Linked DNA regions of Astyanax mexicanus. The protein of the gene in region 2 interacts with the protein of the main gene of each other region in a biochemical or structural test. Links are inferred from orthologs where the notes say so. Each region holds a gene or a part of one and is shown on either strand. Other genes may lie near its edges. The genes, in order: srebf2 and hnf4a.

What was found.
Region 1: the proteins of hnf4a (region 2) and srebf2 form a complex in vitro, tested with the Homo sapiens proteins (2 studies listed by BioGRID and IntAct). The link is inferred for Astyanax mexicanus from reciprocal best matches to the Homo sapiens genes HNF4A and SREBF2.

What each region holds. Positions count from the first base shown.
Region 1 is NC_064410.1:8,704,814-8,715,915, reverse strand, and holds the start of srebf2 (sterol regulatory element-binding protein 2), read left to right. Parts: upstream 1-5,543; 5' UTR 5,544-5,765; coding exon 5,766-5,856; intron 5,857-11,102. Other genes in the region: uncharacterized protein LOC111188799, read left to right, coding at 16-1,203.
Region 2 is NC_064420.1:2,566,816-2,577,563, forward strand, and holds the start of hnf4a (hepatocyte nuclear factor 4-alpha), read right to left. Parts: upstream 4,447-10,748; 5' UTR 4,404-4,446; coding exon 4,289-4,403; intron 34-4,288; coding exon 1-33. UniProt on the Homo sapiens protein: Transcriptional regulator which controls the expression of hepatic genes during the transition of endodermal cells to hepatic progenitor cells, facilitating the recruitment of RNA pol II to the promoters of target genes. Activates the transcription of CYP2C38.

The DNA.
Region 1 (11,102 bases), on a different chromosome or scaffold from region 2:
GCTTTTGTTCTAAAGGTAAAAATGCTACTCCAGAAGGTGGAGAAGATGGTTCAGGAGAACGAGGGGCGGTTCTACACCAGCGCCATGTTCCAGCAGGCCGAACTCGCCATCCGAGCAGAAGAGGAGAGACTGATGAAAGAGAGAGGACAAGGAGAGGGAGAGGAGGTGGAGAGACCGGATGGAGGGTTAGCGATAGCTAAGAGAAGACGAACGGAGCTGGAGCAGGGCTTGAGACGGAGAGAGGTGGAGGGAAGACATGATGAGGGGGTGGAGGAGAGGGGGAGGGATGGAAGGATGAGTGAAGGGAGCTGGAGGGAGAGAGAGCGGAGGAGAGGAAGCAGGCGCCAGTCACTCCGATTAGCCGTTAGCCGCTTCCGCAGGGAAGCTGCTCTGTCTCAGAAGGTTCTAGACCAGGTGAAGGTGTTGGTTACAGCCGGAGCTACAGGCATGGCAGTGGGAGCGGTGTTTGGAGCTGCTGCCCCTCTGGCTATGGCAGCTGGAGCCTCCATGATGGGCAGCTCGGTGGGGCTGGTCGCAGGGCAGTTTGCTGGGGTGTCTGTGGCAGGGAGCGGGGTGGGAAAGGCTCTTGGCGCGATTGTAGCAGCAGCAACTGGGAAAACAGCGGTAGCCGTGGGGGCTGCTACTGGGGGGCTTCTGGGGGGATCAGTGGGAGCCTTGGCTGGGGCAGAAGCAGCCGGGCCTAGAGAGGCAGCACTGGAAGCTCTAGAACAGGTTGGCACAGTGGGTGCTATAGTGGTGGGCGTGGCTGCAGGAGTTGGTGGGACTTTAGGGGCGGGAGCAGCTATAGGGGCGATGCTTGAGGGTGGGGCTGCAGTCGGAGGAGCAGTTGGCATCGCTAATGCTACGGCTGTCGCTGCACCAAATGCTGTAGTCGCTGGGGGTGCTGCTGCAGAGGGTGCTCTGGCTGCATCGCAGGCTGTTGCCACCGGGGGCGTTGTGCAGACAGTAGGGGGCGCTGCATGCAGCGGTCAGAATGCTTTGGCAGCTAGCAGCGGGCTAACAGGTGCTCTGAACACGGTGGGAACTACAGCACGGATCATCACGGCAGTGACGGAGATCGGAAAGGCAGCGGTGGGAATCGTGGTGGCCGGAGGGCTGGTGGTGAAGGTGGTGAAGGAGAAGGTTCGGTCTGCAGCTGGAAACACGGAGAGACATTCCTACGAGATTTACTGGAACAAATGAGGGACTGTGCTAAAAGACGTAGCCTTGGAGAACAAAACATAGAGATGATGCACTGTCTTAAGCCCTATCAAGACGAGATTAGTTTCTCAGGGGTTCTGAGGTAATTTTCTCTCAGAGGGGGTTCTCTGAGATAATTACAGGCTAAATTATCTACTGTTTTTCACTAAACTCCATGGTCGTCTGGAAACTGTAGTCCTGTCCAGACGCACATCTCCAAGTTTTGTCACTTTTCTGTTTAATAAAATAGCCATTTGTGCGTTTCCGCGGAGATCCACGTAAACACAACAGCGAGTGGAAATGGAGGAGCTACTGAACGCGATGTCATGTGACCGAAAAAGCCAAAAAACTCACTGGCTCCCCCTTTTTTTTATTGCAGTCCGGATGCAAGAGTTTTATCACTGAGTAGAAGTGTGAAATATTTTTCACAGACATCCCCCTGAGAAACTAATCCCCTCCGGATTGGGCTTTAACCTGCTTTTCCATCGCTTTTTAATCGATGCTATCCAACCCCAGTTTTTTAAACTGGGTTCCATTATTAATGCACTTATTATGCCGCAGTAACTAACAGGGGTATGCATTTCAACCAAAATCTGAATTTAATTATTCACCAGATGTTCACCAGAAACTGCTTAATTGTTTAGTTAAGATGAGAACTGAGTGATTCAGAGTGGCGTTTGGTGTAAAATGTTCGGTTCAAGATAATTTTACCCAGTTACAGTAGTATAGTGTAGAGAGGTAGTGAATGGAAGCAGAACATCTGAAGCTGTACAGCTCCTCACATAAAGTTATTGCAACAAACGTATTCTGAGAATTTTCACACAAAAGGTAAAGAGACCCAAATCAAATTTTCTCACCTAATACGATGTTTACTTTTAGGCTGTTCACACTTATCTTTTTGATGTGATCTATACAGTATTTAGTATTTGGACAAATTATTCCTTTACTTTGGTTTCAGCCAAAAACTTGCATTTTGGTGCATTTCTACTATTTTAGTAAAGGGGTTTGCTCTTAAATATTTACCTGAAGCTCATATTTACACTGCACTTCATTTAAAAAACAAAACATCAAAAAATGATTGATTACCGACTCAGACGATCAGTCCAGAACTGGTTGGGTATTAATTACAGTGGGAGTGTGATGTAGAGCAGAACTGGAGCAGATGTGGAGATCAGATGTAAAATGCTGGTGCTGAGTACAGTATTATGTACTGTGGTGACGTGCCTTCAGACGGGTGTGTGTATGCCTCTACTGGAACAGTCTGCTGATCTGAACTCAATAAAGCCTGTTTTTCTGGACCATTGTGTGTGGGTGTGTTCTGATGGCCACTAACTAATTACTGTTATTACTGTATTACTACTCATGCACACACTGGCGTAGGAACCGGGGGGGATGGGTGGGACATGTCCCACCCAATATTGGAAACAGGTGGATTTGTCCCACCCAAAAATGATATCGTTTCGCTCAGATCAGCTGTACTATTAATGAGGAGACAGACCGGACCAATCACGGAGCCGGCTCAGGTATTAAGTCCCGCCTCTCAGTAGAAACAGCCAATCCGTTTTGCGGCTCGCAGAGGACCGGCAGTTTGCTGTTGGGGAAGCCCCGCCCCCTCGCTGTGAGATTTAGCAGCGGGATCGGGACGCAGCTTCAGCTGATTTTAAAACGGATCTGGATATACGGAGATTTTTCTAAAAGAAAAGTAACGATAGGCTAACCACATAAACTGTGATAAGTTTCTGATAGCTGGTTAAAAATACACGACTCTAAATCAGCACACAGATTAAACACACTGTGATTAATAAACTGCAGCTGTGTAAGTGAGTTAGCTTGGAATTAGTTAGATTGGAAGTCAACGTTAAAGAAAAAATAAACTATTTATGTAATGTTCAACTTGCCCTGTACCTGATCAGCTAATCACTATTTCATTTTTAAACTGTCTTTATTAATTTAGGATTAATTTAGCTAACTAGTTGGCTAGAAGCTGGATGTAGAGGATAGCCAGAATGTAGTACAGTACTTTATGTTTGTAGTTTAAAGCAGTTTCTTAACCCTGATCACCGCCCCAAAATTGTGTTTTCCACCTGATCCAGCTGATCAGCTAATAAACAGTCATTTACTGAGTTTACTGAGTTTAATCATGTATATCCAGCAGTGTATTAGACACATCATACCACCACTTACTTTAATAAGTGCCTTTAAAGCAGAGGAAGCTCTAGAATATGTAGAACAGTGTTAATATTCAGTAGAATATGTAAGAACAGGGTTCACAGTAAGGCCACATGTCCTTTATGAAACGTAAAGTTACATTCTTTTACATAAAAGGACACCAATCTTTAGAAGAGCTCTCAGTAGAAAAAAGCGTAGGATTTTTTTTAAAGAGTGGAGAAAATGTAAATATACAACAGAATTGACATGCCAATACATGATTATAATAATAATAATAATAATAATAATAATAACCAAATCTGTTATATTATTTTAAATATTAGGTGATAACTGATCATTTTTGTATGTATATGTATATGCATATTTTTTTCTTACAACAGTAAATGTAATGTGGAGTAACATGTTTAGGTTGTAAAATCACCTTGTTAACTAATAAAAAACAAAATACAGAAAAAAATGATTATTTGTGATTAAAAGTAATTTCCACAAATGTTGTTCTAAGAAACTATTGGGTGGGCTTGGGTTCATATTGGCAAATATGTCCCCCCCAATATCAAACCTGCTCCTACGCCCTTGCATGCACACACACACAACCAGCAGGTGGTTTTCACCCACCCACTCCTGTATATCTCCAGCACAGATAACAGAATTATATTTACTTTTCCTGTTTTATAGCACAGATAACCCTGTGTATTAATAAAATTTAATGGTCAGGGTTTAAACAGGGCTGTACAGGATGTGATGCACATTATAAAACACTAACTTAAGGAAATGAAGCCCTGAGTACATTAATTAATTATACATACAGCTCTGGAAAAAATAAGAGAGCATTTAAAAATTACAAGTTTCTTTGATTTTACCAAATTGAAAACATCACAAGCCATCAAACCGAGCTGAACTGCTTGAATTTTTGCACATGGATTGGCATAGTCATAGTATCCAAAAGCAGTGTGTAAGACTGGTGGAGGAGAACATGCAAAGATGCAGGGTTATTTCACCAAATATTGATTTCTGAACTTGTTTTCTTTGCATTATTTGAGATCTGAAAGCTCTGCATCTTTTTTGTTATTTCAGCCATTTCTCATTTTCTGCAAATAAATGCTCTAAATTACAATATTTTTATTTGGAATTTGGGAGAAATTTTGTCCATAGTTTATGGAATCAAACAACAATGTTTATTTTACTATAAATAGCAAAATCAGAGAAACTGATTCAGAAACTAAATTGGTCTCTTATTTTTTTTTCTACAGATCTATATTGTTAAGACATCACAGAACTCCTTTTTCTTATATTATGTATTGTCTAACAATTAGAACAATTATAATACTTTTATTTCCAATAATATAAACTTACTATTGATGGTAGGAATCTTACAATAAAATGTAAAAATACATGTGTAGTAATCAATTATATTCTTCTGAACCTATAAACCTATTAAAATAATATTTCTGTTGAACATGTACTTCAAGATAAAAAAATACTAATAATGTAAACTTCTTTTTACTGACAATTCTTATAATATGAACCTGAACACTGTTACTCATTTAATATAACCTACTGCTTAAAATATTATGGTGCTATAAAACTTATTAAAATATTATTTGTGTTGAACTTGTGCCCTGTAGAACAATTATTATAAACACACTAAACTTAAAAAAAAAAAAATTATTTTACTATACCTTTATAAACATGCTATTACATAGTGTACGCCTACTATTAATACAAAACTATTATATGTAGCTATAAAACTAATTATACATTTATTGTTACTATATCATATCCTGTTAATATATGGTATTTCTACACTACAACGCTCTAAATCTATTTTTATCTGAATTTATGTTTTTATGAACCTGTTTTAGAGTATTTAGATCTGAGTTAGAATAATGTTTGTGTTTGGAGTTGGCGATGATGTAACACCAACATAACAGAGGAGTAGCTCCGCCCATCCGCCTCAGATACATGAATATTCATGAGATCCCGCTTCAGAGCAATAGGCGAAACCAGAGTAGGCGTGGCCAGCAGTCTGAGGCGGGTCGTATTCAAATCACAAAGCGCCTCTGCTCATCGACGTACTATCAGACCACGGAGCGGCGGGCGCTGTGATTGGTCGACTCTGCCTGGTCTCACTCCGCGGCCGAGCCAATCAGGCGTCCCCGGGGCGCATGACGTCGACGTTGTGGAACAAGATGGCTCCGTTTGTTTTGTGAAGGGGGTTCTGACGGTTCAGCTCAGCGATGCGGACAGGCCCGGTTTGGGGTATTTTGGGGTGTTTTCAGGGTCGGTTTTAAGGCTAAAACACACCCCCACTCCTCAAACACACAGGCAGAGCGGGCACCGCCTCCTCTGCTGCCCGACCCGCCCGGGGAGACACCGGAACCGGGGACGCCGCTGGTATGGACGGCGGAGAGTACCTGTCAGCCATGGAGAACATGGACCCGACCCTGTCCGAGCTGGGGGACGAGTTCACCCTCGGGGATATCGACGGTAAACAGACCGGGCTCTGCTGTGGTCGTGTCTCTAGTGTCTGAGCGCTCTGTGCGCTGTTTAGTGCGTTATATGCTATGTTCTGTGTGTGTAACCGGGGTGTGTACAGTAGTGAGACAGGTCAGTCAGTCAGTCAGATGGTGATAGTAGTAGTAGTAACGTTACTGCATTATCATAGTTTATATACTCACTTATACACTGTGTAGTACACTAAACAACTACAATACACTAAGTGTGTGTGTGTGTGTACAGCCCCCCAAAAGTTTGGGCACATCTTTTTTTCCCCACATTGTAAATTAATATTGAAGTCATCCACACTATAAAGGAACACATAAAAAATAATGTAATAACTTTAAATTGTTAAACAAACCAAAATACCAGGTGGCTCTTATCTGTGATGCTGTTAACTTGCAGTTCCTGAGGCTGGTAACTTATCCTGTGGGGCCCGTCCTAATGAGGGCCAGTTTCATCATGTTTTTGATGGTCTTCAAAGTTCCTGAAATTTTTAAGATTGACTGATGTTTATCATTGACGTTCAATTTTTTAACTTATTATTTTATTCTTTACTTAGTTAAGTAATTATTTTTATAATATGGATTAGAACTATATATGGATTAATTAAGCCAACTCTGCCTCTTTACAACTTTTCGACTGATGCTATCAAACACACTAAGAGGCAAGAAATTTAGGTTATATAATATATACAGGCTAATAGACTTGTTTAGTACCCTAAGCTCTGTATATACAGACTTATTTCCCTAGCTATAATGTACATAATGTATATACGGGCATATAGACTTATATAGTACACCAAAAGTGTATATACAGGCTTATGTTCCTAGCTATAGAGTACACTACAAAGAGTGTTTATACTGGCATATAGTTGTATTATAGTACACTTTACATACTTTTTTGAACACTAGATACTGTTTATACTAGCTTATACATCTAGTAATATAGTACACATAATAGTTACTAATTGTACGGTATACTATACAGTGTACATACTGTCTTGTAGACCAATATAGTACACAACATTTTGTATAAATGGCTTATAGATTTACAGTATAAAGTACACACTTAAGTATATATGCTGGCTTTAACACTTTTAAAGTACACTACATAGAGTGTATAGTGGCTTATACATATTATTATATTCTTCTATAATATTCTTCTCTACATTTTCTCTATATACTATATTATCCTCCTTTTACCCTGTTCTTCAGTGGTCAGGACTGCGACCGTAAGGTGGTGGTGTGTCGGTGTGTGTTTTGCTGGTATGAGTGGGTTAGACACAGCAGTGCAGCGTATCTATTGAAACTCTGTATACAGTATTGACACCTTCCTAAAATAATTTATCAAGTTTTTCAGGAAACACAAAAAAAACTATTTAAAAATGAGCAGTGGTTTAAAATGATAGTTTATCATACAGTCTCGCAGTAGAACCAGAAACAATACTAATTGAAAATTCTGAAAATATTGATTGAAAAGACAGAAAACAATTATGATTTTAACCAGCCACAAATTATAGAGCATTTCTATGTAGCTTTTGGACTTAGCTATTTCGCAGACTAAAATTCAGACAAAAAAAATCAATAATAAGCCTAAACAACAATGCAATATTCATAACCAACATTCTTTAATAATACGAACTACACAATTCTCCTCACTTATCAATTGAGGATGAGCTGTAAATTGTGTAAATTAGTTCAGTAAAGGAGCCTGGTATTGGAAATCTATGAAAATATTATTTTATTTTGACTGAGGCTTAATGAATTAGCTTAAGTCACACTCTTGACACAGGCCATTATCCTAAAGAGGTAGAATCAAATGATATGATCAACTGAGGGTGTAGGCAATTTTACAACATATGGCCATGCAGCAATATTAAGACATGATTTAGACAAAAAAAAAAAGTATTTTTTACAATTTTTTATTATTTTAGGAAGGTGTATAGTGTCAATCATAGGGCATATAACCATAACTCTTACAAAGGGGACATTATAAAGCATATATTGACCACCCATGTGGTCCTTTGTATTGTCTGTCTGTATGTACTGTAGTAGTAGTAGTAGTAGTAACAGTAATATATTGTACAGACAGTAGGCTTTCGTGTTACGGTTGTGCTTTTGTTTGTTCTGTCGACTTTAGCTCCTGACGGGGCTCATTTACCTCAGGGCAGTCGAGCTCAGGCAGATGGGGATGGGGGTCATTAGTGCAGATACAGCAGGTTATTACTCAGTAACTACAGCGGGGTGATGTGTACACTCTTATGCACTCCCAGGAGTGCAGAGATGAAGTGTGTACTGATGTTGGTGTGTGTTTAGCTGTGTGTGTAGACAGTGCACACTTACTGATCTCGGTTTTGAGAGCAGAATTGGGCATGCAGATTTACAGTGTTGATTTTTTGAGTATATTCTCTAAGTTAGACTGCAGGTTGAGTTTAGGCTCACTCTTCGGAAGTGTAGTAGTTTGTACTCACTTTGTCTGGGTGGAGTTAAGATGAAACACACAAAGTCTATCTTTCATATTGGCTTCTGGCAGCATTTATTTGCATATTGGTTGTGTGTAGTCTTGCCAATCAGGGCTATATTTGCTGGGTATTCAGTTATATTTTATATAATGGCTGATTGTCTGTCTACAATGTTTTAGACCATAAGAGCAAGTTACGCTTTTCTTAAATATAAAGTATGACTATAAAGTGGTGTGTCTTTCTCAGAACATCCTTGAACTCAGACGGAGTGCAGGTGTTCAGTTCTTCGGTGCAGGTCTTATCAGATCTGTTATCAAACTTGTCTCACATCTGCTATCAGACAGATAGTGCCACATCAATAAACTCTTGCTAATAATAAAGATGATCACACAGTAGACATTAGTGTATCTGGCCATGTTTTGATGGCACACTTTGATAGAGAACAGTATAATGGAAGGACAGCAGTGTGACCTCGGTTAGTGAGATAGTGGGGCTAATTGATTAGATAGCGTTTGATTATTGCTGCTGTATTACCAGTTCTGACCATAACATTAGTAGTTGGCCTGCAGACGTGTGGAGGCGTGTGGAACGTGTGGTGCATGTGTTCGAGGCTGAAAGTTCAGGGTTAGTGGTGACAACTGATTGTAAGGTTTCTGCGCTCAACTTTGCTTTCTGCTGCCAGAAATTGATAGTAATGCTGTCTAATGTTTAAAAGTCTAAAGTGTAAATAAATGTTTTGGGGTATTATTTAGTGATGCTACTTTACCACTTTCCTACTGTTGAGGTCAGAATGTAGATTACTTTTTACCAGGGCTGTCAATGTTAACGTGTTAACGCACACAATTCTTTTGGAATCAGTAAAGAGTTATTATTTTTAGCGCAAATTAATTAAACCACAAAGTTTGCCCCTGTCGTAACTTCCACCATAATATGCCCCACCTCCAGCCAACATGCAGATTTCATACATACTTTTTAATTGAGCTAAACAGTTTAGTCTGATATATTAGCCAGATGATATACTGCTATTAACAAACGCTGTCTCTGCTGCTCCATGCTGTTTACACATGCAGTAATGTACAGCGTTCACTGCTCGCAGCTGCACTGCACCTGCCATTAAAAATACTGTGTTTAAAAGCTCAGTTACAAATTCTCAGCATTCTGTTTTAAAACAGATTCATACTGCACAGATATATACGCGCTGGAACACAGAATCTTCACGCTATATTTACTTTCTTGCTCCTGCACCAGACAGTTCTGGCCAATCAGAGGAGACAACGTGCTTGCATGGGTTATTGGTGCGCATTTTGGTGCGTTTAGGTTTATACCTGTGTGAAACCAAACCAAACAGAGGGAGATAACGCTCTAAATAAATAAACTGATCAACTGATCTGGACCATGTGTTCGGGGGCTGCTATTTTCATGGAGTGAAAGGTTTTCCAGCCCATGAAAATAGCAGCCCCCAAACACACAGTGGGAATAAAGTCCCTCTGTCTTCCACAGCAGCTAAACTTTGACAGAGCTCCACAGTAACATCTTATGAAAATGCTTGCAGATGCCAGTTACAATTCTGTATGTAAGAGTGTAGATATATCCTCAAATATGTCTTAAGTTTCAGACAAACATCAGCTGTGTTTACCAACAAGGTGAAAACTTTGTAGAGCTTTGCCTCAGCCCTCCACTTTTCATCTAAAAGAAAGTTCTCTAACCAAACTGGGTAAGGAAACAATCCATGTTAATGAATACATTATCTGATTCTGACCCTACTGAGGTAAATTTATTACAAGAGTAGCAGTGCTAAGGTAAATTTGTTACTGGAATAGCTCTAATGAGGTAAATTTGTTTGATTAGTAGTTCTGAGGGTTTTTTTTTTGTTAGAATAGCATTGCCGAGGCAAATATATGACTAAAAACTAATCTGACTAGATTAGCACTAGTAAATTTATGATTAGAATAATTGTATCTGTATTAGTACTACTGAATTAAATGTATAATAATTAGTATTGCACAACTTGGGGAAAATTGTGACTATAAAAGCACTGCTGTGGTAATTGTTTGATTAAAATTGCACTTTTGAGGTTTCCTGTGCTGTACCACAACCATTTGTGCACCTGTTGCACTCAGCAGATCAAGGTCATTCCTCCAGGTGACCTTGGCTGAAGTGGACAAATAGAGGGCAGTAAATCTCCTCTCTCAAGGCCAGAGTGTCGTTTCTGACCTTTCATCAGTTCAGGGATGGTGTAGGTGAAGGTGTGATGCTACTGTGGGCAGGTACCAGCTGTAAATGCCACTCATCTTACCAGCCTTTCTTTTTGCTTAGGAGGAAAATTACAGGTACAGGCATTTAATCAAAAGCAGAACAGTGCTTTATTTAATCAGTTATATATACAGTTGCAAGAAAAAGTATGTAAACCCTTTGGGATTACTTGAATTTCTGCATAAATTGGTCAGTAAATGTGTTTCTGATCATCATCTAAGTCACAACAATAGACAAACACAGTCTGCCTAAACTAATACAAAAAATATATATGTTTGCGTGGTTTTATTGAACACAACATGTTCAATAAGAGTAGGTTTTAAGGAAAATCAGCATCTCAAACCCTGTCAGTGGAGAGGTGGTTCCTTTTTCATCAAGGATGTTGGGCACTCTATTAAAGATTCTCTTACTGTTTATTGAAGTGCACAAGGAAATTTGGCCAGCAGATTTCCAAACGCAGATATTTGATTCGCTCTTCTGATCTTGTCAGCTTTTCATACTTTTCATACTTAGAAACTAG
Region 2 (10,748 bases):
CGTTCATGTTGGCACTCTCAGCTGGTGAGGAGTCTGAAACAATAAAAAAAAAAATATATATATATATTAAAAGTTACACAGTGATCCTCAGGTGCAGTCGTGAAGACCTTAAAAAAAAACGTTATGATGAAACTGGCTCTCATCAGGACAGCCCCATTGCACAGGACAAGTTTAGGAGTTACTACATGATTCCTGATGTGTTCCTTCGTAGTTTAAATGACTTCCCTATTCATTTACTATTCAATGTAGGTAAAAAATGAAAAATAAGAAGATTGAACGCAAAAGTGTTTCCAATCTTTTGAGTGGTAACAGTGAGCACACATGTCTGAAGCAGTGGGCACCCACCACTGCGGCATATAGAGAGGCTTTGCTTTAGAACAGTGGCTTGGGTATCAAACCCACCAACTTGTTTTTTTAACAATCCAAGGCTCTGATTATTGAGCTTCTTTTGGCAAATCTTAATGTAAAGCTTTATGTAATAGGTAGTCTTTAATGCTAAATTGTAACTGATATTAGAAAAAATGGCAGAAGTTTTTTGGACTTTACACTACATGGATATGAAGTGCATGAACAGACAAAGTGTTTTTTTTTTTACTTCAGATCAAAGCAAATTGAAAAAGTGAAAAAAGCTAAAGAATGTATCTGATGTCCATTATCTGCAGTACTTATAAAATGAACATCAACTTCATAGGTCCAAAAACGGAGCCTTGTGGGACTCCAAAATGTGCTATAGAAGTTTTAAAAGGTGAAAAAGCTTCTTTATTATGATTAACAACAGAATTATGAACCTAATGTTTAAAAACTTAACATATAATGGCTTTTAAATCAGTTTAAATCTAATTTAATCTCTAATTTTTTTCTTAATTACTTGAGTTTATTTAGTGTTTTAAATGATAAAAAAGGATATATGTGATCCTCCAGTAGATAACGGAGATTCAGCTCCAGCAAATTTAAAGCGGAAACGGGTTAAAGGTCACGGCCAGGCTGTAAAACGCTTTGAAGAGACCAATTTCACGCTGCAATCAATTAGCCATAAATCACTCTCATGAAAATGTGCAGTGGAGGAGTGTTTGCGGAGTAATCCAGATGTGATTATAAACTGCTAAAACTGCAGGAACTGAGCGGCAGCAGAGCTCTGCTAATAGAACTAATCATTACTCAAGAATGCGTGAATAAACGTGAGCGTGAGTAAGACTTCAGGAGCTTAATGACTTGGAAAACACGGAGACGGACATCTGAAATAAATACAGCTCGAGTGAATTAACTGAATTAACATGCCTTATTAACATAATCCATAACATAGGCCTCAATCCTGCTGCTGTAAATACAATTTTTTTTGCTGAGTATCTCAAAATATTGAAGGAAGAGCAAAATTTACACCTATTTAAAGTCTTTTAAATGACCACTTCTTAGCTTATTCAATGGATTTTAACTATATTTTATAAGTTTATAAGTTTATATATATATAATCAAAAATGCTTTTGGTTAATGAAGCTGTTTTTTTACACTTTAAACCAATAGAATTTTTAAAATGCAAATTAAAATATTATAATATATTATATTATATTCATTCAGTCTAGATTTTTAAATAGTTTTACAGATGGTATTTTTGGATTGTATTAGTTAAAATTATTATTAAATATTTATTTTATTCTCTTTTTTATTTTTTGCTATTTTATTACTGATAAAATTGAATATTTTAAATAAATTAAAAAATTAAGAAAAATTTACTTAATGCAATACTTAATTTCTTAATCTTTGTTTTTATTGTTTGTATTATCTTAACTGTATTATTTAATTTTTATTTCTATTATTTTACTATCCTTCTTTTTATCCATCTCCATTTTTTTGGAATTTTTAGAATATTTCTTATTTTCTTGTGAAGCACTTTGAATTTTAACATGATTTATCGAAAAACAAATACAAATTCAGCTTGATTGATTCAATGATTAATTAATTGTATAATATTAAGTGTAATATGTTCTTATTACGTCTTATTCGATGTAATAGTCTTAAAAAGTGCTTAAAACCCATTAAAACCAAAGTACTTGATCAAAGATGATCAAAGGGAAGCACGATAGATGTGTAGATGTTTCAGTTGATTGATTTGCGATTGACTGATTATCTGAATGGGAGAAAACAACAGCAGTGTGAGAGGATTGGGAACCAGAGTAATTAAACTCAATTAAATCATCATTCGTAGCCTAATTAAAAACTAATCATCTAAGAAATCACTGTAAATCCAGTAGTTCTGGACTTAAGTATATATATGATTAAATCTCGTATTATCTTTGGGGTCAATTTGACCCTATATAGTGTTTAAAATCCCCTATAAAGTGATTAATTCAATGAATATGTAAAAAATGTAATGTTTCAAATGTTTCAATCCCAATGTCTTTGTTATTAAGGCTGTTTTATATGAAATATCAATTTTTTTACACACATTTTTGTGGTAATGTTCAACACATGTTGAGGTCTTTTTCTAAACGCCCCCTAACTTAACACTTAAAATAGACACAACACTTTAAATACTTATGTAATACTATTATACCATTATAATAATGATACAAGTGCTGATAATTCATCAAATAAACATAAAGTAAGGAGTTTTAAATTGCTGACATCATACTGATCGAGAGAAAAGTATCAGTATTTACTTACTTATTTAACGTGAAAAACAATTAAGTGTGATGTCATTAAATTACATTATTTTTACAAGACTACTCTCATTTGAGTATCATTTCTTTGGGAACCAAACCGTTTCCACGTTGCACAATCAATGCATATTATTATTTCTTTTTTTATTAATCCATAATAAACACATATTTTAACCAGCAAAGCATCAAAGCAATCTTTCGATATAGTGCAATATATGCAAATATTTCATTATAATAAATTAATAATATATTTTCCAGCCCTAAAACCCCATTAAAGTTCCTCAGAGCATCCAGATGTTCAAGCACCTTAAAAGAAGAAAGGCTAAGAAATGAATTGTTGGTACTTTTTTAACTTATTTAACAGATTTTGCAGATACTTATATAATCGAGTCAGTTTCTCATGACGTTCAGACATGGGAAACTAAGCTGTGAAGTATTTCCACAACATCTTCTACGCTTGATGTCCATCTATCTAGCTGTCAGCTATCTCTGGAAACTCAACCCTGAAGAGACATTTTATCCTCAACCGACCAAAGAAAGCGGAGGGTAAAGGGAGCTGGACGGAATCACAGTGGGACTTTTAGTGGTGTAACTTTGACACGGAATGAAAGATGAGCCTGTCCACCTAACAAGACAGAGCTTGCAGTTTTCATCTTTCCCAAAGCTTCCAGACTCTCAGTTCAGATCTTCAGTTCTTTAGTTCTTTGCTTATTTAATCCTGTCTTGCTTCATTTCATTTTTATACCTTGGGGAACTTTTAGGGAATCTACAAGATCTGAAAGATGCTTTGAGGAAAATGCTTTAGGAAAGCTTGGGAACATTTCCTTCTGAAAGACCTTCTGGAGAGCCATTGACATTTAAAACAAGGCAATGATAACTTTAAAAGTGCACATTTTTAATGTCAGGCGTTTTCTACCAATGTTCCTATTCAACCAATGAGGTGTGGAGCTACTTTGAGCTGGATAACTGTTTAAAAAAAAAAGATTTATCTGCAGGGGCAAGTGGATGCCCCATTAGCGGTCGTTGTAAAGAGTTCTGGGCAAAAAAGCACAAATTTGATGGATCTTGGAAAGCTGTAGAAGAGCGCTGTTGGGCTTTAAAACAAAGTTTAAAACTCTTTATCATGTTTAACTACACTGAAAAGTTTTAATTTTACACTGGAGTTCTGCTTTAAGCAACTTCAGGACTGGGCTAAGCATATGTGTATGCATAATATCATATATTAATATAATTTTGTGGTGTTTAAAGGTGACTTAAGGAACATTTTCTTCTAAAAAGTCCTATAAATTTCACAGCACTTTATTCTTATTGTGGTTATTGGGTTCCTCCAGTGCATTAAACTTTTTAAAAACTCCTGTTTTTAAAAAAAAGTTGGCAGTATAAACACTAAAATAAGAGTATAAAATAATAAATATAACTCAGTATAAAGCATACTGTTCTAAACAGGTCATCCCATCCAGAGGCATCTCTAAGGAATGTATAAGGAATCTATAAAGTCTATAAACCAGCCCAAAACCCATTAAACCAACCTCATCATCCTACGCTTGACCAAACATTCTCCAGCCTATATAAAAAGTCTCAGGACTCAAAGTTCAGCCCGGGACCTGAACTTTGTCTGCAGGGTGACTCACCTGTGCTCATGGCGAGCACCTGCATGTTCTCGAACTCCAGGGTGGTGTAGGCTGGGTCCAGGGCCTCGCTATAGTCTGCCATCTCCATGTCTGCTAGAGCTTTGGACAAACGCATTCTCAGCTAGCCTGACACTGAGGGGAAAGACTTGTCCTCTCGCCGGAGTCCGGACCCCCCCCTCTCATAGAGCAAGCCCCGCCCCTCGCAGAGGTAGACACCTCTGAGTGACACGGGACATGTCCTCTGGGGCAAAGATGAGGCTGACTTTGACTGACAGGTCAGACCCCGCCCCCTCGGCCACGGCCCCAGTTCTGGAGCGGGGTGGCCCTTGGGTTAATCATTGTCTGGCTTTTTTTTCTTTAGTGCTTAATATGGATTGTTTTTTTTAGAGATAGAGATGAACAAGGCCTCTCTCTCTCTCTCTCTTTCTCTCTTTCTGTGAGTCTCTCTTTCTCTCTTTTTAATATCAGATTTTATCAAAAAAGCAAAAAAGCTTAAATAAGTTGACTTTTGTCGAATAGCACACCTCCGCTCTCCCACAGCTTTCCAAGACCCAGTAATTTTGTGCTTATAAGCCCAGCACTCTTTACAACAGCCGCTTCAGGGCATATTTTGCCCCGATAAATCGTTTTTTTCCACCGTTATCCAGGCTCAAAGTAGCTCCACACCTCATTGGTAAAATCTGGAGAGCTCTGAAATATAAAACGAGGCATTAATACCTTTAAAAGTGCATGAAAAACATATTAAAACCACTTTTTACAACTCTTTTGTAGCATTAGATGCTGTGCATCTCTGGGCTTAAAGTTAAGTCATGATCAGTACAGTGATGGCGGCGCCCAGAGATCTAACGTATCTAGCGCTATGGAGCTTTCAGACCTCAAATAATGCAAAGAAAACATAAAGTTTTCATAAAGTTGTAAGAGTTCAGAAATCAATATGTGGTGGAATAACCTTGGTTTTTATGAATCTTGGCATCATGTTCTCCTCCACCAGTCTTACACACTGCTTTTGGATAACTTTATGCTGCTTTACTCCTGGTGCAAAAATTCAAGCAGTTCAGTTTGGTGGTTTGATGGTTTGTGATCATCCATCTTCCTCTTGATTATATTCCAGAGGTTTTCAATTAGCTAAAATCAAAGAAACTAATAATTTTTAAGTGGTCGTTTATTTTTGTCTTGTCTGTATTGTATTTGATGGGGAATTTCTTCTGTAGGTACTTCAGCTTTCTACATATTTAAGACTCAATCCTGTACTCAATCCAGTACAGCAGCAGCGACTCGACTTTTCACCCAAAACTGCAGTTTTTAGTTATGACTAAATTTGGCATAAAGTATAAATGTTGGCCATTCTGTTCTCTATAGTTGGAACTTTGAGTTTTCTGTAGAACAAAGAGTTCTTTTACATAAAGGTCAGCATTTTTCCAGCTACTCAGAGTCACTGCTGTTGTTTATTGTGCAAGAATTAACAGAGACTTAGCAAACACATCATTTAAGCATGAAAATCAGGCTGGCTGGCTCTCAATCTGATTCTGTGGCCACGTAATATAATACATCCTGAAGAACATTTCTGTATTTTCCTTTAAGAAGCCTACAGTACATGTTCTCTGTATTTTAATTACGATTCGGCTGAAATCTGCTTATGATGGCTGTGTGGGTTCATGTAGTGAAAACAGTCACATTTCATTTTAACATGAGAATTTCCCACCCATAATTCTTCCCTTAGAAGAAAACAAACAGCTTTCATAATTGTGAATTTCAGATATTTGTGTCTAAAACAAATAGAGTGGTGTCAAATTCTGGTTTAGGAAAAAAACGAATAGGCACTTTTCCTAAGTTTGACCTCCCATTACTCCAAAATGCTGCAGTAAAATCACTTAATACTCATACAACTGATATCATGTAAATTGTACTTCTAGGATTTCATGATGTCATTTGATAACAGTTTGATTTGCTGGTTTTATTTGGCTCCAAACTTTGGTTTGTGCAAAACCGAATAGGCACTTTTCCAAAGTTTGACCTCGCATTACTCTAAAATGCTGCAGTAAAATCACTTGATACTAATAACATTGATAGTTTGTAAAGGGTTCTTCTAGCATTTCATGATGTCATTTGATACAAGTTTAATTTGCTGGTTTTATTGGGCTCCAAACTCTGGTTTACGCAAAACCGAATAGGCCTACTCCATTTTTACTCCAATTAGTCCGAAATGCTACAGTAATATAACTTGATATTCATAACATTGATAGTATAGAAAGTCTTCTTTAATAATTTAATGGTATCATATAAAAAAAACTCTTAAAAACCTCTGTTTACATCCTATAATGCTAGCTTCAGCTCAGAGCACCGCCATCACTGTACTGATAATGACAGACATATATACATATATATACATTATACATAGACTCCAGAGTCTATATTTTTTAATAAGCTTCTTGTGCACTTTTTTATTCTAGCAAGGAGGTGTGGAGCTACTTTGAGCTTGAATAACGGTGTAAAAAGCAATTTATCGGGGCAAATTATTATGCCCCGTGACGCCCAATCTGAATGGTTTTTGGACAAACTGTTACAATTTCTGGATCTCTGAACGCTGTGGGAGAACGGAGGTGTGCTAATCATCAAAAGTAAGAACTTTTTTATCAAGTTTTACTACAACAAAAAGTCAATTTTACACAGGATTTCGCCTTTAATATGATTGATTACATAAGAAACCACAAATAAGCAGGTATTTCACGACTTTTGCATGTGAAATAAATCAAATAAACCTTGATTTGATTTGATTTGATATGCTAACACGCAGGTTATGTTTGTTATCTGAGGGAAAACCAAAAGTAAAGCATTGGAGCATTTACGTAAACAAGTGGAGCAAGCTCGCACACATCAGAGCCAAGGCAAACACAGCCCAGGAGATATTTGAAGAAGGGAAAGTGACAGTACAAAGCCACAGGTCAACGTTCTCCGGTTCATACGGCCACCAGGACAGTAAAACTTTACCTACCACTCATCCACCCACACGCCTGCACGAGGACAGGAGCTGCCCAAAACGGTGACCAAGTAAACTCTCTAAACACGCAGTAAAACCTCTTTTAACCAGGCTAAACAACTTAATTTACTGTATAACACATTTTACAGGCAGTTACAGTTAAGATATGGAGCTTAAAACTGACAAAGTATTGGATCTGTATTGTATATACTGGGAAAATGTGACATATATATATATATATATATATATATATATATACACACATATGTGGTAATTCATAAATTAGAATTTTATCTAAGATTTTTTGTTTTTTGACTTTGAAAGTGGTGAAAATTACTGTTTAAAGTTCATATATAACATATAACATATAACTTTTTTTTTTTAGATTTAAAATACTTAGATCCAAAACTTAGAAATACAAATTTAGGCTAAAAGTGACTTAAGATTTGAATTGATTTATTGATTTAAAATGTATGCATTAGATCTTAATTTTTTTTTTTTACATTACATTATAAATTTATAGTATTTTTTATCAATAGCAATTTTTTTGCCTCGCAAACTCAAATGAATGTGTATGAATTATGCCATTAATTACTGTATATCACTACTAAAAGACATGTACATTTAATTAAAAATAAATCCGATACCACATTAAAATAAGACTACCTTTATAAAGGGTTTATAAATGGTTTACAATTAGTTTATTAATGGTTACTAATTAGGTTGATTTTTTGTCAGTATGGGAATATCTTGATTAGCTTGTAAAAACATTTTTGATAAGATCTTGATTTATATGGCTCTGCAGATCCCCCTGGACACTATGCAGACTATATTTACTGTACAGTATTGTTTAGAATTGCTTGGAAAACACCTGAACTTACTTGCCGGACAACTGATAATTTAGATATGCATAAGAGACTAATCCTGTTTATGTGTTTTGTGTGTTTTAGTTATTATTAACATGATGATCATAAATGATAAATTTTAGATAGATATAGATAAAAAAAATTAAGAGACCACTTCAGTTTCTGAATCAGTTTCTCTGATTTTGCTATTTATAGGTTTATATTTGAGTAAAATGAACATATAGACATCATTTCTCCCAAATTCTAAATAGAAATATTGCAATTTAGAGCATTTATTTACAGAAAATGTTTATTTGAGAAGTTTTAAGAGTTCATAAATTAATATTTGGTGGAATAACCCTGGTTTTTATGCATCTTGGCATCATGTTCTCCTCCACCAGTCTTACATACTACTTTTGGATAACTTTATGCTGCTTTACTCCTGGTGCAAAACTAATTCAAGCAGTTCAGTTTGGTGGTTTGATGGCTTGTGATCATCCATCTTCCTTTTGATTATATTTCAGAGGTTTTAAATTTGGTAAAATCAAAGAAACTCATCATTTTTCAGTGGTCTCATTATACATATATATTTATATATATAGATTTATTTCTGAAAGTGCCTTTTGCTTTTTTGTGCACATTAAGATGCAAGAAATTCAAGTAAACTGTCTAATCTAAGCAAGTGCTAAGGTGCTAACTCTAACTTTAACGTGTCTTTGGGAATCTCTTCCTCATCTCCTTATTTGCTCAGGAGATTTGTTCTGGCCTCAGAAACAGTGAGGAGTGACTCACGTTCTGCAAATCTTATCTGGCTTACCATTAAAGTCTTTATCGTAGCCTAAATCTCAAGAGCCCTGTGAACGGCCTCCACGGCTCTATAAAATCTAATCCACAAGGTTATGGCTCTTTCCGTCACATGCCAAGTCAGAGTGTTCAATCCAGGTAGATCCAGATAAATGGAGAGATCGTTAGCTACATGTATCACATGGGAAAAGCCTCACGGTAACCCAGGCTAACCTTTATAAACCAGACTTTTCATTTCCAGATTATTCATAATGACAAATTACAGCCATTTACAGCTATTTAGTCCTGTATATTATAGGAGTCCACCAACTCTCAATTCAGTACTCTTAACCCTTTCAATCCTTAGTTTTGTCCCAGTAATGGAAAAAAAATATTTAACAAAACTTTTTTCAACCTGTAATGCACACAAAAGAAGAAACGAATACCATAAAATGAAATAAAATAAAATAAAATATTATTATTACAATTTTCATTGTCTATTACATTGGAAAGCCAGTGTTTAACATTTTTTGTTTTATATATGATATTGAACATTCCTACACAGTAAAATAAACATGATTAAAGTATCTAAATCACATAAAATCAGTAGAAAAAATGAGCTCTTATTACTTTAAAAGGTTTAATGAAAGAATGGGTCTCAGGCTCTCAGGAGCTCAGTGAACTCCAGGCCTGTGGTACTGTGATACTGTAGGATGCAGCACCTGTGCAACAACAAGTCCAGTCGTGAAATTTCACTACTCACTACTAAATAAAGTTTTAAGAGTTCAGAAATCAATGTTTAGTGGAAAAACCCTGGTTTGGTTTTTAATCACAGTTTTTTCATGCATCTTGGCATCATGTTCTTCTCCTCCACCAGTCTTACACACTGCTTTTGGATAACTTTATGCTGCTTTACTCCTGGTGCAATTTTTTTTAAAGCAGTTCAGTTTGGTGGTTTGATGGCTTGTGATCATCCATCTTCCTCTTGATTATATTCCAGAGGTTTTTAATATGGTAAAATCAAAGAAACTCATACTTTAATGTTTTTTTTTTTCAGAGCTGTATATACTACAATGGCTGCCAACTGGGCCATTAATTAATAGCCTATCTAATCCCTGACCAGCAGGTAACAAGAGAATCAGCTTTTCAATTAATCAATCAATCAATCAATCACTCCCTTACTCAATCAATCAGTCAATCTATCATTTCTTATTCTCATATAGCCTAGTTTTCTACTTAGCAGTGAAGAGCCTGTAATGATTTATCTCTCTCATCTCTGATCACATCACTCTTACTGAAACCTGAGAACTACAGAACATCTATCACAGGCCGAGTGAATAAAGGAATTTAACACACACAATATTATACAAATGAATATTGTGTTTTAGTAAAATAAGTAAAATTACATTACATTACATTACATTTGGCAGACGCTTTTGTCCAAAGCGACTTACAATAGTCAAGTACAATGTAAAATAAGTTTAAAGGTAAAACATCTTTGGATAGGGATAAGAGGAGGTCAAAGGGGAATAATAGGATAGAGGAGTGAAGGAGGGGAAGAAGGAAATGAGGTTAGAAGCAGTTAGTGTGTTAGAGGTGTTAGGAGAGTAAGAGCTCTTTGAAGAGCTCTGTCTTCAGGAGTTTATTAAAGATAGCGAGAGATTCTCCTGATCTGGTAGTAGAAGGTAGTTAGTTAGAGGTGTTAGGAGAGTTAGTGCTCTTTGAAGAGCTCTGTCTTCAGGAGTTTATTAAAGATAGTGAGAGATTCTCCTGATCTGGTAGTAGAAGGTAGTTAGTTAGAGGTGTTAGGAGAGTAAGAGCTCTTTGAAGAGCTCTGTCTTCAGGAGTTTATTAA